3 linked regions of the Neodiprion lecontei genome follow. The protein of the gene in region 3 interacts with the protein of the main gene of each other region in a pairwise test. Links are inferred from orthologs where the notes say so. Each region holds a gene or a part of one and is shown on either strand. Other genes may lie near its edges.

Region 1 (4,916 bases), on a different chromosome or scaffold from region 3:
ACCTGATCAAAACGTGGCAAGTAAAACTAATTAGTTACTCACTTCTTTGTTTGCTCAGTACCAAGTCAGAATTTCTGATAATCCTTATCTTTGAATTGCAGGTGAAGGTGCAAGAGAGTGTTAATGTTTTAACACAGCTATGCTCAGTTGTAACATCAATTGGATTGATTGTTCTAGTTTTTGGCCAATCTTATTCCTCACTTTTACTCTGGTTATATGGAGGGCCAAAGTTGACAGCCTATTTACCAGTTTTATTACTGAGATCGCATTGTCTTGCAGTATTACTGTTAGGAATAAATGGAGTTACAGAATGTTATACAAATGCGACAGCAGACAGTAAAACCATTGACCGGAATAATTATATTATGATATATGAGTCTGTAGCATTCCTAGTAGTGTCATATTTTTTTGCATCTTGGTTTGGGCCCGTTGGTTTCATTTTTGGAAACTGCGTTAACATGGCTTTGAGAATTTTGCATTCAACCAAATTTATAAAAAGAAGACACGAAAATACCAAATATAGACCATTATTAGGACTCGTACCTAAACCAATATTCCTTGCATCTTTAATACTAGCAGCTGTTATTACAAAAGTGTCACAGGTAAGAATAACAGTATTAATACTTGATAAAATCTTGAAATCATCAAAAGTTTCTACTGCTGCGAAATGGTAGAGAAATAAACACGGCAAAACTAAATTTATATTTTCCATTCTTTTTAGGCATACTTTTTTCCGAGCGAAAAATTAATCCATCTGTTCATCGGTATCGTAATGTTTGGACTGGTGATGGCTTCCTGGGTTTATGAACATCAAGACCTGGTTCAACTCGGTGTAAACAAATGGCGCGATAGGCGAAACAAACATAAAAAAGATGATTGACCAATGAGTCCTTATTTATTGTTTGTAATATGACTGTATAAAGATTATTTATAATATAGTTACACAAGACAATATGTTAATAGTAAAAATGACAACTGTCCTCATGACTTGGTTCATTAATGTGACATTATTTCCGGACACAATATTTTACATTCAAAGCCATTTGAATTTTTTTTCTCACTTTTATCTCAAACTTAATTTCACAAAAATCGGACGCTTAAAAGTGTGCAATTATACTCTTAAGAATTCCTTATTATTTATTAATAATTGTAATTCAGACAACAAAACAATTTTAATAGAAGGTTATTCTCTCGTGGCAGTGTGAAAACGCGTATACTTGCAGAGTTTTAGTGTGAGAGCCTAAAGCAAAGAAACAAGTGACAAAGCAAATTTGATACGCACCTGGCTTAATCAGGTTTTCTGGTGAAAAACAAAACTCGAGTTAAGCTTGAAGAAAATAGTTCCATTTTCAGAGAATCAAGTCTAATGTTAGAAATAAAAAAATTCCAAGGGCAGACTTAAATTCAAAAGAATAACTAAACTAGTATCACCTTGTACAATTGAGAAGAAGTAATGTTAGGAATGATCAAATCTTGACTTGAAATGCACCCAACTAAATTGGATTATGTATTTCATTACTCTCATTTTGGACATGATTTTACGAGTGTATATAGTCATGGAACTGTGCAAGTGATGATTGATGGAATTTTAGAAGATAAGATTTTGTCTATTATAAACAAAGAATATAATCTTTAATCTGAACAAAATATAGTATTACAGCAAACGTAGAACGAACACTCATTATTGAGCCGTATTTCAAGTAGATATTGTTAAACATAAAGAATCAATTTTAATTCATGTACAAATCCATTGTTAAGTCTCAACGTCGATTTCAGATTTCAGGGTGATATAGCTTTGTAGATAGCACCAACTATAGGCCCCTGACGCTGGATTATGCATTGCCTGAAATCGTTATTGAAGAATTCAAGTTGCACAGCAATTCTGACTTGGAGTTATTCTCAAATTTGCATAAAATAATCATTGTGAATAAAGAATGAGCTCCAATAAAATGATGGGCATTGAACCGAAGTAAACAAATGAGAACACATATTACTTCAGATTTAATTACATATTTCCTTAGTATAAGCAAGTTGAAATGTGCACATACATACCGATTGTCACTTTCTAAAGCAATAATGGGTGCGTTTGATTCAGGCTCTAATTTTGCTACCTCATCAGCAATGGCTGCTATCAACCCAGCGCTTTGCCCAGATGCACTCCCCTTAGCTGAAAATTAAATACATATCTTTTGAGCTTTGACAAGTATGACATTTGGAAATTCATGCAAACATAGAATCAAAAATAGTAAACATTGATTATTAATTAGTTATAGGTTACCTCCTAAGCAGAGGCCTTGACGATCGGCCAAAATGCATCCTATGACTCCTTCGACATTCGTCCTGTAAATATGTCATTATTAAATAACATTCAGAATTTGTACCTACGTCAATTCTGGTATATTTTACCCTTTTCAGTTCTTCATCAAAGGAGAAAAATGAGTTGTGTCAGAATTGATGTTAGTGAAGGTTATGAATGCGGCTACTATTTAACATTATTTATCAAGTCTGAGTATGAAGCCTTCAAGAAAATTGGTTCATACTTTCTAAGCAACAATAAAATTACGTGGGCATTGTTATGAATTTCCAAAGCAGTCAATCAATTGCGTGGAAAAAAAATTCATGAGAAAATTAGCGTATTTTAAATTGTTTGAAATAGGCGCGTCGTAACGTGAAATCTATGAATTTTGTCTTATTTCGATAACTTACACGTTATCCATAGTTTTCTCTAAGTTACGTTCCATTCTGAGGCTCCAACAAAATCGCGGTTCGTAAGTAGTGTGTGAAATTATAAGCAATAAACTGCTATAATCGAAACAAAACTACGAATAGATTTACAGTGACTGGCATAAAACAACTGGTTATTAACCAGTGTGGTTATTTTTCTTTCACGTGAACGCACTCATAGTTCTTCCTTCTTCACGACGACCCGCTGTTGTACGAACTCTTTGATTGTTTATTTTTTTACTTTTGATCTTGATGCATACTTAAATTGATATATTGTATATTGGTCGTTCACTGAAAACACTGAAATTATATATTTATTAATTTGTCAAATGTCCCCTCTTGTCTGACAGCCTGACCGGAAATACCAATTGTAACGTTAAAGTCAAATCAGATGTTATGGTATTTGAAATTGTGGAGAAGTCCCTACTCTTGACTGAAAAATATTAAGACGGGTAAATTAAATGACCCTGGGTAAATTTTTGTGATCAGCTTTTGGCGGGCTAGTGGGCCCAGTGGGCATGAGAGCGTAGGAGGGTTCTGCTCTATCGACTCTATCTAACGGGCTCATACCGACATTCCTAGCAGCCAAAGTAGTGTCTATATGGAAGCTTGGGATTGAGTCGGTGAAATGTGGAAGAAAAGGCGAGGGAAAATGCACCTGCTGAAAAACGTCGAAAACACGGGTTCTCGATTTTTGGCTGTAGCTTTTGATGCGTTGATCGCAGTGTATTGGAACTGCGCCCAATCGGTTTCTCTCGCAAAATCACGTCGATACAGTGCGCCAAAGAATTGGTTCCAGCACTTTTCAAAATCGCAAAAATTTTCGCCAAAGATGGAAAGGGGTGAGCCTTGCTTTTTTTTGAGCAGAAAACTTTTGGTCTCAGATTCGATTTAAATGACCCTTATCCGACCAATTGGACCCTCAGGAACTCAGAAATCGCAGCGAAAAGAGCGTAGGACCAACAGGAGATAAATGGCGAGCGAAAAAGCGCCTGCTGAAAAACGTCGAAAACACAGGTCCTCGTTTTTTGGCTGTAACTTTTGATGCGTTGATCGCAGTGTATTGGAACTGCGCCCAATCGATTTCTCTCGCAAAATCACGTCGATAGAGTGCGCCAAAGAATTAGTTCCAGCACTTTCAAAATCGCAAAAATTTTCGCCAAAAACACAAAGGGGTTAGCCTTACTTTTTTTTTGGGCAAAAAACTTTCGGTCTCGGATTCGATTTAAATGACCCTTATCTGACCAATCGGACCCTCAGGAACTCAGAAATCGCAGCGAAGAGAGCGTAGGACAAACAGAAGAGAAATGGCAAGCGAAAAAGCACCTGCTGGAAAATGTCGAAAATTCAGGTTCGGGTTTTTTGGCTGTAACTTTTGATGCGTTGATCGCAGCGTATTGGGACTGCGTCCAATCGATTTCTCTCGCAAAATTACGTCCGATCAGTGCTACAATTAATTGATTCCAGCACTTTTCAAAATCGCGAAAATTTTCGCCAAAAACACAAAGGGGTTAGCCTTACTTTTTTTTTGGGCAAAAAACTTTCGGTCTCAGATTCGATTTAAATGACCCTTATCTGACCAATCGGACCCTCAGGAACTCAGAAATCGCAGCGAAGAGAGCGTAGGACCAACAGGAGAGAAATGTCGAGCGAAAAAGCACCTGCTGGAAAATGTCGAAAATTCAGGTTCCGGTTTTTTGGCTGTAACTTTTGATGCGTTGATCGCAGCGTATTGGGACTGCGTCCAATCGATTTCTCTCGCAAAATTGCGTCCGGTCAGTGCTACAATTAATTGATTCCAGCACTCTTCAAAATCGCGAAAATTTTCGCCAAAAACACAAAGGGGTTAGCCTTACTTTTTTTTTGGGCAAAAAACTTTTGGTCTCAGATTCGATTTAAATGACCCTTATCCGACCAATTGGACCCTCAGGAACTCAGAAATCGCAGCGAAAAGAGCGTAGGACCAACAGGAGATAAATGGCGAGCGAAAAAGCGCCTGCTGAAAAACGTCGAAAACACAGGTCCTCGTTTTTTGGCTGTAACTTTTGATGCGTTGATCGCAGTGTATTGGAACTGCGCCCAATCGATTTCTCTCGCAAAATCACGTCGATAGAGTGCGCCAAAGAATTAGTTCCAGCACTTTCAAAATCGCAAAAATTTTCGCCAAAAACACAAAGAGGTTAGCCTTACTT
Region 2 (4,258 bases), on a different chromosome or scaffold from region 3:
ATTATTTGATGCTGAAAGCAGATAGAGTACCTGTTAATTCGCATCCAGTTATCAAAAGGTTAGCACAGTACCGCCAGCTCCTTAATCAGTTAAAATCTGGACAAGGAGAATTGTTAGAAGAAGCTGTTGAAATATTGAAAGCTGCTGAAAACAACCAATCGCTTTACAATCTGGACAATGTTGAATTTGATAAAAAGAGCCGAAAGAGGCCATCCGCTGTTTTACCTGATGAGCAGATAAAAACTGGCAAGAGAAACTTTGTTGAAACTGTTCAGGATGAAAAACCAATTGAACAGACGGAGGATGAAAATTCTGAGGTGAATGAAAACGCTGACGAGACTGAGAACCAGGGTACTGAAGTTATGTTTGAAGATGTTGATGGCAAGCGAGCCATTACTCGCCAAATTGCAAAGAATAAGGGACTGACCCCGCACCGTCGGAAGGATCTACGCAACCCAAGAGTTAAACTCAGGAACAAGTATCGCAAGGCTAAAATTCGAAGAAAGGGAGCGGTGCGTATTTGTAGTTTTATTTATATTTTTTAGCACTTAAGCTGTATTACTCAATAATTGAAATTGCTTGTTTCAGGTGAGAGAAGTCAGAAAGGAGGAGACACGCTATGGTGGAGAGACCTTTGGAATCAATGCTCGCGTTAAGAAGAGCATTAAGTTGAAGTGAAAGTAAAAATTAACAATCATTCAAAGAAAACATGTACAAAATAAATTCTAACTTGAGTTTTGGATGTAATATCACATTTGAGACATGCGCAAAAATATTTCTCATAGTACATGTATGAAATATACCGAAATTAATTAATTGGTGGTATACAGGTCTTGATTGGAAATATTTAATGAAGACGAAAAATGCGATAAAAAATAATTGTTAAACAAATATTTTTATTCGTTACGCAACGTTGTGTATGAAATAATGACACCTACGCACTAGCAGACTTACAGAGAAATAAACATAACCTTCAATTAATTCTAATTAACAATTATTAGTTGCATTCTATAAACACGGATGATGGCTGTGTTCGTATTTGGTATGTCACAATGAGATTATGGACATTCTACCACAAATATTCAGTTTCTGGCATTCATCGAATGTTGGAATTTACAACAGCATTAAGATTCCAATTTAGCAAGGATATCAGATTCACGGAATAGGTGGAACTCCTTATTCTCTTCAAGCTCAACTTTCGTTCCACCATATTCTGGTAGCAGCACAACATCTCCGACTTTGACACTCAAAGGCATGTGTTCTCCCTTCTGTAATCAGAAAAAAACATGGTTTCGATCAAATCAATTAGATATAATTTTTTTTATTAATACATTATTATTTCTATTCTATTATTATAGAGCCAGCATATTGGATCTTGTAGTACTGTGTAAGCATTAGAATCACCGTTAAAATCAAGGACTTCAAATGAATTGAATTTCAAACGTATGCTGTCGAAATAGCAAGAATTATATTGTTCAAGTTACTACTTCATATCACTTCCGGGACATATTTCCACCAAATACTCAAACATGATTAAACATAATTGTTGCAAAAAATTTATTAGAAAAAATGATTGAGTAAGATAAACCAATTTTCGTTTCAATGTGGTGTATATGAATGTTCAGCTGATTTCCAATCAAATAAAACATGCCACCAACTAATATCAAATAAAATTTAATTTTACTAATTATATTTGATGAGTTATTTCAAAATTAAAATGTGGAAGAACGAAGTGACCATTTACATGGAAGCATGACTCCACTGAGCCTAGCAGGAGCGGTTAGAATAGAGTTGAATGGTCGCAAAGACTTTCAATCTATCTTGTATTTGAAGTCACTCTAGTGTTTGAATAGAAGCAGCGACTACGAATGAAACTTACATTGTTCCTAGATCCAGGACCTATTGCAACAACAGTGCCTTTGAGTACTTTGGCTTGAGCTTTTTCTGGGATAACAATGCCACCCTTTGTTTTAGTCACAGCTTCGGCCCTCTGTATCAATACTCGATCAAAAAGTGGGATCAACCTCTTAGCTGCAGCGGCGACGGCCTGTGAAATAGGTTAAAAATATTTGAGATGATGAACATCATGCTACCCGCGAGAATACACGTGATTTCTCATCAACTTGTGAGTGTGCTTGAAACGGCAACAAGAAATTAATACTTTAGGGAAATATTTTAATATGCATGTCAGTCACATGGGTATTCAGCTGTAATTTATTTGCTCTTTAAATGATGGATTTATATCGTTCCCGTAGAATTATGTGGCACCGCGATTGAGTCGGTCCAGAGAGATACGTACCATTTTGAGGAATTATCTTAACTGGCGCGTGTGACGAGTTGATCGGGGAGCTTGAACCTTAGCCGGCAAACGCACACGTTGTGTAACCTATTTGTCGAGAGTCGGAATGGGCCTCCCGTGGTTGAATTTTCTCGAAGCTTCGTTGTTCCGCCCGCCCCACCAAAACAAATTCAGCGATCAATTTTTCCCCTCCGAAATGATAAACGCGCCTTACGTAACGCGAGGTTCCCGAGATTCGGTTGCCGATGACGGATTTTCATTGTTGCGTTCGCGTCGCTGCATTGTTGGGAGAGGCGCCACCATGCGGCGAGAATGGGAAGTCGATTGTTATATCGATCGTCTGCTTGGGAGATTCTAGAAATAATCAACAAATGATAAAATCAATTTGTAAATAATTTATTGGTCAATAGTATTTCCGATTACAGGAATATCATCCAACGTTTTACCGTCATCAATTTTTTATTTAAGACAACATTGCCAACTTCATTGATGCATGATTTTAGATCTCTAGTTTATTGCATCATCTATAATCTCGTAACTTCTAGAAAACACATGGACCGGCGATTAACTTTGCCGGATAAAATCCGTATGTAAAGGAAATTAAGGTATCTAATGATCGTTCCGGTTTCTAAAATAATTAAAACATCTTGTGAAGAATAGTATTTTACCAATCATATTAAATGAACTGTGAGTTTTTACGAATTTAACAAAAGATCGTTGGCCGAGAGGGGAAGTAAGCAGCGAGTTGGTGGGGATAGCAGGCCATGTGATATCGCAGACCTCCTAGCTGTTCTCATTCCATTCAGGGAGCAACGCGCGGTTCTTTGCGGCGACAACGATTCTCGATTTATATTCACATTTTTCTTCCTTTCGCATCTAACGTTTTCAATCGCAACACTTACGAAGGTAATCGAGTCTATTGTTATTTCACAATTCTATTATATTCCTTAATTATTCCACTGCCAATCCTAAGATCGTACGGCTTGTCTAACTTGATAAAAGATTGCTATGCACGCGGCATTCGGCAAATTATTAGATGAACTAACAAATTTTACCATTAAATACTTTTTCGATACAAAATCCAATGCGGTTTAAATCATTTTCGTATATAATTTTTAATATTTTTCTTTTTTCATCACTGTACACACCCTGTTATTCTGGTAAAATTTTTACATAACCAAGTTCGGCGTTTCTCCTCTTCAGACATGGTCTAACCGCGCTTCAACGTTTCTCATATCATAATCTAACCTGTTTCATTGCTTTAGTTTCATGTCATCATTTAATCATTTATATCACAACTTTTAATCCCTTCATTTGTATTTTAAACAGCAATAGATTGATTCGAACATTAGATACTTGCCCTGAATTAATTATATTTAAGTGTATCATGCATTGGATTTTTATTTTACACCTAATTCTGCCATACAGCTAAAAAGGAAAAACACCAACAACTGAAGAATTATTCATTTCAATTCAATTTCACAGATGTACAGACTACCGAATATGTTACGAGGCGTAGCCCTGCGCCAGCTGAATCTCCACTCTAGATCTTATGCCAAAGATGTTCGTTTCGGGCCCGAAGTTCGAGCTTTGATGCTGCAGGGTGTGGATATACTAGCTGACGCGGTAGCTGTAACAATGGGCCCTAAAGGTCGTAATGTTATTTTGGAACAGAGTTGGGGAAGCCCTAAAATCACCAAGGATGGAGTAACAGTAGCCAAAGGAATAGAGCTCAAAGACAAGTTTCAAAACATTGGAGCAAAGCTAGTACAAGACGTTGCCAACAATACTAATGAAGAGGCTGGGGATGGTACGACAACCGCAACTGTTTTGGCCAGAGCAATCGCCAAAGAAGGTTTTGAGAAAATCAGCAAAGGTGCTAACCCTGTTGAAATTAGACGCGGTATGTATTTAGTCACCCTTTTGTGACGCTTTGAAATAGATAATAAATATGAAATA
Region 3 (6,371 bases):
TATTCTCATCGATGGTATGTCCGTTTTTTTTTTTTGAAAATCAACCGTTCAACCAATTTTCATTTATAATATATAATTAAGCAAATCAAGATTTCATTTCCAAGAAAGCCCTCCATTTGAAACCTCAACTCTAGAAAATATATATTCAATCATCTCCTACATCAATTTGTTGAGCGAAATAAGTTCTTTATCAACTACCACGGAAATTGATTAAATACTCACTTAGCAAAATTAGGCTAAAATAATAAGAATAAGTACATTTAAATATAAATAAAATTATGCATCGTGATTCTCGCGTTGAGAAAAATAAAATCATTAATTGCGACACAACGTACAAAGTTTAGTTAAAAAAAAAAAAAAAATTCAAAATAATAACATTATTTTCTCGAATATCGCACGATATAAGATTTTATTTCCGTAAATAATTAGATAGAAAATATAATTAAGCCGAGCTAAATAATTAATAAGTTTTTCGTTTCTAGTTTTGTTTGTTGTGAAAACAGGAGGAGGGGTGAAGTTTCTGTTGCTATATAGTATTATTAATAATAATAATAATAGTTATTATAGGTAGTAAATAATTACGTTATGCAAGTCGGAATAATAAAGTTGCCAATGAGACGGTTTTTTTTCATCAACTATTTCGAGAAGTTTGACAATATTTGTTTTTCTTGTCATTAAAATTCAATGATATTGTTGTTTGTAATATTTCACGTGGTGGTAGAAGATATATCGTCGTCGTCGTTGCTGCTTGATTAAATTAAAATCTTTTTTTTTTATTTTCAATTTTCACCGTACCAATGTAATCAATCATTCAATTAACCAGATGGTTTCTCGTTACAAATAAAAATAAAAACAAAGAAAAAGAAAAGAAACACAAATTTAATCAGCACTTGTAGTTTGTTCAATTAGTTACCTTGTTGTTATGTTTTTTGCTGATAGTAATTCATGTTGCTCGGTTGCCATCTTTAAAAAGTTATTATTACATTATTACAATAGGTAATATTTTTTCCTGCGAAATTCCTTGCGGTGGAAACAACAGTGCTGCTGTATCAGCCATTCGGATTTAGATAGTAAAAGAAATAATAAACAACGTTTCGTGAATAATAAGCATGGCGCGACGTCAGTCCTCCGTGTCATAATAATCATAATAATGGATATCATAATCTCAGCAACGTTAACTACCATGAGGGTAGCAGAAGCAGCAGCGGCAGTAGCCGACTTATTACTATCGCAATAATAATAATAATAATCAATTAATTGAGACACGGGACAGGGAGGCAGCGGCGGCGCCACCTCACGGTGGTCATCCGTTATAGTAGCTAGTTATTTCTTCTTCTGTGCCTTCTCGGCGGCCTTGGTGACTTTGCCTGTGGCATCCTTGAAGCTGACTGCCTTGATAACACCGACAGCGACAGTCTGACGCATGTCACGCACAGCGAAGCGCCCCAATGGCGGGAATTCTTGGAAGGCTTCGACGCACATCGGCTTGCTCGGCACCAGAGTCACGATGGCCGCGTCTCCCGACTTTATCGCCTTTGGATTCTCCTCAGTCGTTTTACCCGTACGTCGGTCGCATTTCTCCTTAATCTCGGCGAACTTGCACGCTATATGTGCCGTGTGACAGTCCAACACTGGCGTATAACCGTTGCTGATCTGACCGGGGTGGTTCAACACGATTACCTGCAATACGTAATAAGCAAGAATTAGTTATCAATGAAAATAATTTTGTTCATATAGTTTACTGCGATAAATTGCTAACTTGAAGATATTTTTCGTAAATTTACATAATCGAAACCACGAAAAATCGGAAATACAAAATTCAATTGCAGTTGTAATGATTTAAGAAAACGGCTTCTAGTTATTCCATGAATTTTGATGATAATAGTCCAACGAACTTTAATGACCACTGTATCAATCAAATATGAAAAGAATTACAACTCTGCTGAATTTCAGATAGCAAAGAGAAACTTAGTACTTATGGTGAAAAATAAAGTTTCGGTAACTTTTCAGAATGACTAATGAATATTTAATTACCTACTATACACGGTTTCAATTTAATAAAAATCAAGGACACTGTTAATATTAGAAGAGCGTAATTTTCAAGACACTCAGACGCTTCAGCCATCAACAGACCCACAAGTCTTCTGGTGGAAACCGCGAATGAAGATTAAAGCGTCTCATCATAGTGTCGAATAATTCACAAACGAAAAGTACATGAATTAACATATAACAATTTTTATCGAAATTTAATGAATCTGCGGTTACCTGAGCGGTGAAATCGGCGGCGCCCTTGGGCGGATTGTTCTTAGAGTCACCGGCAACGTATCCACGACGAAGTTCCTTGACGGAAACGTTCTTTACGTTGAAACCAACGTTGTCGCCGGGTACGGCTTCAGTCAAAGCCTCGTGGTGCATCTCGACGGATTTTACTTCAGTCGTGAGACCTGCTGGAGCAAAGGTTACGACGGTACCTGGCTTCAGAACTCCAGTTTCTACACGGCCTACGGGCACCGTTCCAATACCTCCAATCTTGTAAACGTCCTGCAAACAAATTCAACAAGCATCAGTTAACCTTCAGTAATGGAAAATGGAGCGAAATATACATTGAAATTTCACCTTCAATTCTTTTGAAAAACGAATTAAAATGACGATCAATAGAATATAATAAACATGTTGGAACATAGAAAATATGTTTGAGTTTAAATTATTCTATTTTGTAAGATTTTTTAATTGTTGGAAAATTTATCTCAATAATTTCGAATGTAAGTATGTGATCCAATTTAATGATTGATAGACTTTTTAACGACTGCATGGTCTACTAAAATTTAACGCATTGAAGGCTACGTATTACAAATGAAATGTCGCAGTTTTCATTCAAAAATATATTACGTCAATTTTTCCAGGATAAGTCAAAATATCTCAGAACTTTTCTAGGACTTCAGGGACATTTTTTGGTTTTCCAGAATAATTGTAGAATTTAAGGACACTTAAGGAGCAGTAGATGTCCTGTAAATATATAAACCCAGGAACAGTTAGGAAGACCTTCTTTTTACAAAACTTTTGACAATGGTTGAAATTTCTCTGCCAGAGTTTCTTGATCAAAATAGTTATTTTTCAATTTTGAATGGACGGAATGAAGCGAATGGACAAAATTTACCTGCAGGGGAAGACGCAGAGCCTTATCGGTAGGTCTGCTGGGTGGGAGGATGGCATCGAGTGCCTCAATGAGACACTTTCCATCAGCTTTGCCTTCCTTGCGTTCGACGGCCCATCCCTTGAACCATGGCATCTTGCTCGAGGGCTCGAGCATGTTGTCTCCGTGCCATCCTGAGATGGGAACGAAAGCGACAGCAGCTGGGGTGTAACCAATCTTCTTGATATAGGAGGAAACTTCCTTCTTAATTTCCTCGAAACGAGCCTCCGAGTATGGCGGCTCAGTGGAGTCCATTTTATTGACACCAACGATGAGCTGCTTGACGCCGAGGGTGAAGGCAAGTAGTGCGTGCTCACGGGTCTGACCGTTCTTGGAAATACCAGCTTCGAATTCTCCCGTACCAGCAGCCACAATCAACACTGCACAGTCGGCCTGAGACGTACCAGTGATCATGTTCTTAATGAAATCTCTGTGTCCCGGAGCATCGATGATAGTCACATAGTACTTGGCAGTTTCAAATTTCCAAAGGGCGATATCAATCGTGATACCACGTTCACGTTCGGCTTTCAGCTTGTCCAAGACCCATGCATATTTGAAGGAACCTTTACCCATCTGCAAATAATATGAATATTAATTTTGTGCTCTCATCAGCCATTGATTCAACTTCCAGATGGTATTAATTTGACACTCAGACGCCTTCAGCCATCAATGGACTTTCTCAAGTCCTCCGGTGGAAACCGCGAATGAAGTTGTAGGGTTATCATCACTGTGCCAATCCAGATTGTTTTTATCAGTGACATCATAAGATTATAACAATATCGAATTGCTGATCAATACATATTTCAATTGGTATTCAAACTTAGATTGCTAACGAGAATTTTTTTTGCTGGGGCAAATAGTGCAGATTTTACATAATTTATGAAATATATCGATCATCAAGCAAATTAATTATCCAAAGAAAAAAATCACAATCTTTTGTACTAATTGGGTTCAAAAGTGTTCAGAAATAGATACATGCTCATTGTTTTGATGTAGATTTAAGCTTTCATTTATGGAAAAATATGTTGAGAGATATGATTAAACAAGCTTAAAGAGCTCTCCATTTAAAAATTTAAGTTACGTGTAGCTATTGAATCAGGTATAAAGATTTTCGGTATACATATCAAGAAAAAGCAAATCCAAAAAAAACAGAGTAGAAACCTCACCTCCTGAGCTTCCTTCTCAAACTTTTCGATGGTACGTTTGTCGATACCACCGCACTTGTAGATAAGGTGACCAGTGGTGGTCGATTTACCGGAATCTACGTGTCCGATGACAACGATATTGATGTGAACCTTTTCCTTTCCCATGTTTGCGTCGTTTCGTTGCTAAAGAGTTCGTCAAAAGAGCTGAAACACAGTGCAAACAAAAGAAGCCGTTAAAAAATCCGCTCTTCAACATGAACTTATACCACGTGGCCACCCCGAAAGTTATGCGTCCAGATTTCAGAAGGAAAAAGACCGACTGCTGCTTGTGCCCTGCGGGATTTACGGGATCGCGCGGCCATTTTGGAACTGTAGATGGAGGACATTTCTTCAGAGAATCACAGAGAAAGGGAAGAAAGCATTGCAGCAAAATACCGACCCGGGAACAACGCGGCGAGTCCTGCTTCCAAACAATATAACGGCAGTTCGATGAACATAGTTGGAAACTATGAGAGGATACGTCGATACGCGATTGCGTCACGTTGCAACATATGTACATATTTGATTAGGTGTATCAGACTACGCAGTGATTCGTTACGAGAGTTCGGAAAGGAAACGGGCATTGTGGTATATTTCGAAGCTCTTCACCTGGAAGGAAGATTGAATAAATGAACGAATGATGCGAAAGTGAGAAGGTTGTACAGTGACCTAAGGGAACCCGAATTGCGGTGACAACTCACCGCCATTACGTGGAGCGATGAACGAGGCAGAGAAGCCGATGAGGGCTGGATGTCACGGAAATAGAGGTCTAGGGCTCAAGGATGAGGAAGTGGGTGCGTTTAATCGGGTTCGAATTTCCCGAAGTACCGGAATTCGCCGGGTGTCTAGTACAGGGACAGTTTGAAGTCGGCATGCGGCCGAGGGTGCTAAGCAGCAGCCGGTCGGGATCGTTACATTTTTTTCACCGAAGTAGGCGATATTTCGTTAAACTACACCGAGGGCGACGTCGCCGGGAATTTAAGGTTCAGTTCTGGCCTTGATCCGAGCCTCGATGGCTGGACTTTGTTTGTGATTTCGACGGATTACTGAACGGTAACAGAGAGCACGCACGTACGACCACTCACCTCCAGATGCCACGACAGAAAGAGATCGTTGTAGGAAAGTGACATGCGCACACGGCTTCACCGACGCAGCCTCGAACCCAGCGACGGCCGACTATCGATCCCTCGCTCCTTCCGCGATCTAAATTTTTCTAAAAATTATCACCATTTGGAGTTTTTACCTTACGAAATTTACAGTGGTCTCAAATGGCCAATTGATCGACACTTTTCGCTGCAACATTCGATTCTGGAAAATTTTGAATTGGACGTTAATCTCGGCACGGCTTTGGGTTCGAGGCTTCGATTCCTTCAAACCTTCAGGTGCGTATCCGCTACCGCTGGCCTCGGGCGCATACAATCTACACCTGCATGGCTGACGTTTGGGGCCAGTGTCTTCCGGGGCGCAATCGTCGTTCCCCGTTTTTCCTTGGCAGTCTTTCGCGATTGTTATCGAGATGACACGCATGACCCGGGCTGTTTACTCCAGATTTGAGGGCCAGATCTTGATTGATCTATCTGAACTAATAGTGCAGTTTTATACTGTTCTCGTTAGTCTGGTCTGATTTTTGTAGCATAAATTAACGACGCTATTCGACTGTTCTAACGCATTTTAACAGATTTTATCCAGCTTTTCGTGAACTACGGATTTGCATTTGTTTTGTAGAATAACAGTACTTTCTTTTACTCTTCGTTGAACCGCAATACATGCCTGCGAATTCCCGGGGCTCAAGGATCGCGAGATGCGGGCGTGTCACGAATGCCACGCCGTGAAATTTTTAAGGGAGGCAACTAGCGTTACAGTCGTGTATTGTAAGTCATCGGCGGCTTGGATCGTGCCGGAGGGCCGTCTGATCAATAACGGTGAAAAGAAGAACCAGTTTGTCTCGTTTTTCCAGGCCGCTGATTCGAAATGGCCAGATTTCAGATAGCGTA

Evidence for each region.
Region 1: the proteins of elongation factor 1-alpha (region 3) and ragulator complex protein LAMTOR5 homolog interact in a two-hybrid assay, tested with the Homo sapiens proteins (2 studies listed by BioGRID and IntAct). The link is inferred for Neodiprion lecontei from reciprocal best matches to the Homo sapiens genes EEF1A1 and LAMTOR5.
Region 2: the proteins of elongation factor 1-alpha (region 3) and 10 kDa heat shock protein, mitochondrial interact in a two-hybrid assay, tested with the Homo sapiens proteins (2 studies listed by BioGRID and IntAct, with this or other methods). The link is inferred for Neodiprion lecontei from reciprocal best matches to the Homo sapiens genes EEF1A1 and HSPE1.

Annotation. Positions count from the first base shown.
Region 1 is NC_060260.1:24,485,730-24,490,645, forward strand, and holds ragulator complex protein LAMTOR5 homolog, read right to left. Parts: upstream 3,087-4,916; 5' UTR 2,742-3,086; coding exon 2,707-2,741; intron 2,341-2,706; coding exon 2,279-2,340; intron 2,168-2,278; coding exon 2,053-2,167; intron 1,844-2,052; coding exon 1,780-1,843; 3' UTR 881-1,779; downstream 1-880. Other genes in the region: protein RFT1 homolog, read left to right, coding at 1-16, 102-602, 722-880. UniProt on the Homo sapiens protein: As part of the Ragulator complex it is involved in amino acid sensing and activation of mTORC1, a signaling complex promoting cell growth in response to growth factors, energy levels, and amino acids.
Region 2 is NC_060263.1:38,384,857-38,389,114, forward strand, and holds 10 kDa heat shock protein, mitochondrial, read right to left. Parts: upstream 2,461-4,258; 5' UTR 2,303-2,460; coding exon 2,300-2,302; intron 2,048-2,299; coding exon 1,880-2,047; intron 1,269-1,879; coding exon 1,125-1,268; 3' UTR 877-1,124; downstream 1-876. Other genes in the region: something about silencing protein 10, read left to right, coding at 1-512, 589-678; heat shock protein 60A, read left to right, coding at 3,785-4,202. UniProt on the Homo sapiens protein: Co-chaperonin implicated in mitochondrial protein import and macromolecular assembly. Together with Hsp60, facilitates the correct folding of imported proteins.
Region 3 is NC_060264.1:21,332,281-21,338,651, forward strand, and holds elongation factor 1-alpha, read right to left. Parts: upstream 4,543-6,371; 5' UTR 4,504-4,542; coding exon 4,360-4,503; intron 3,767-4,359; coding exon 3,158-3,766; intron 2,542-3,157; coding exon 2,266-2,541; intron 1,681-2,265; coding exon 1,324-1,680; 3' UTR 753-1,323; downstream 1-752. UniProt on the Homo sapiens protein: Translation elongation factor that catalyzes the GTP-dependent binding of aminoacyl-tRNA (aa-tRNA) to the A-site of ribosomes during the elongation phase of protein synthesis.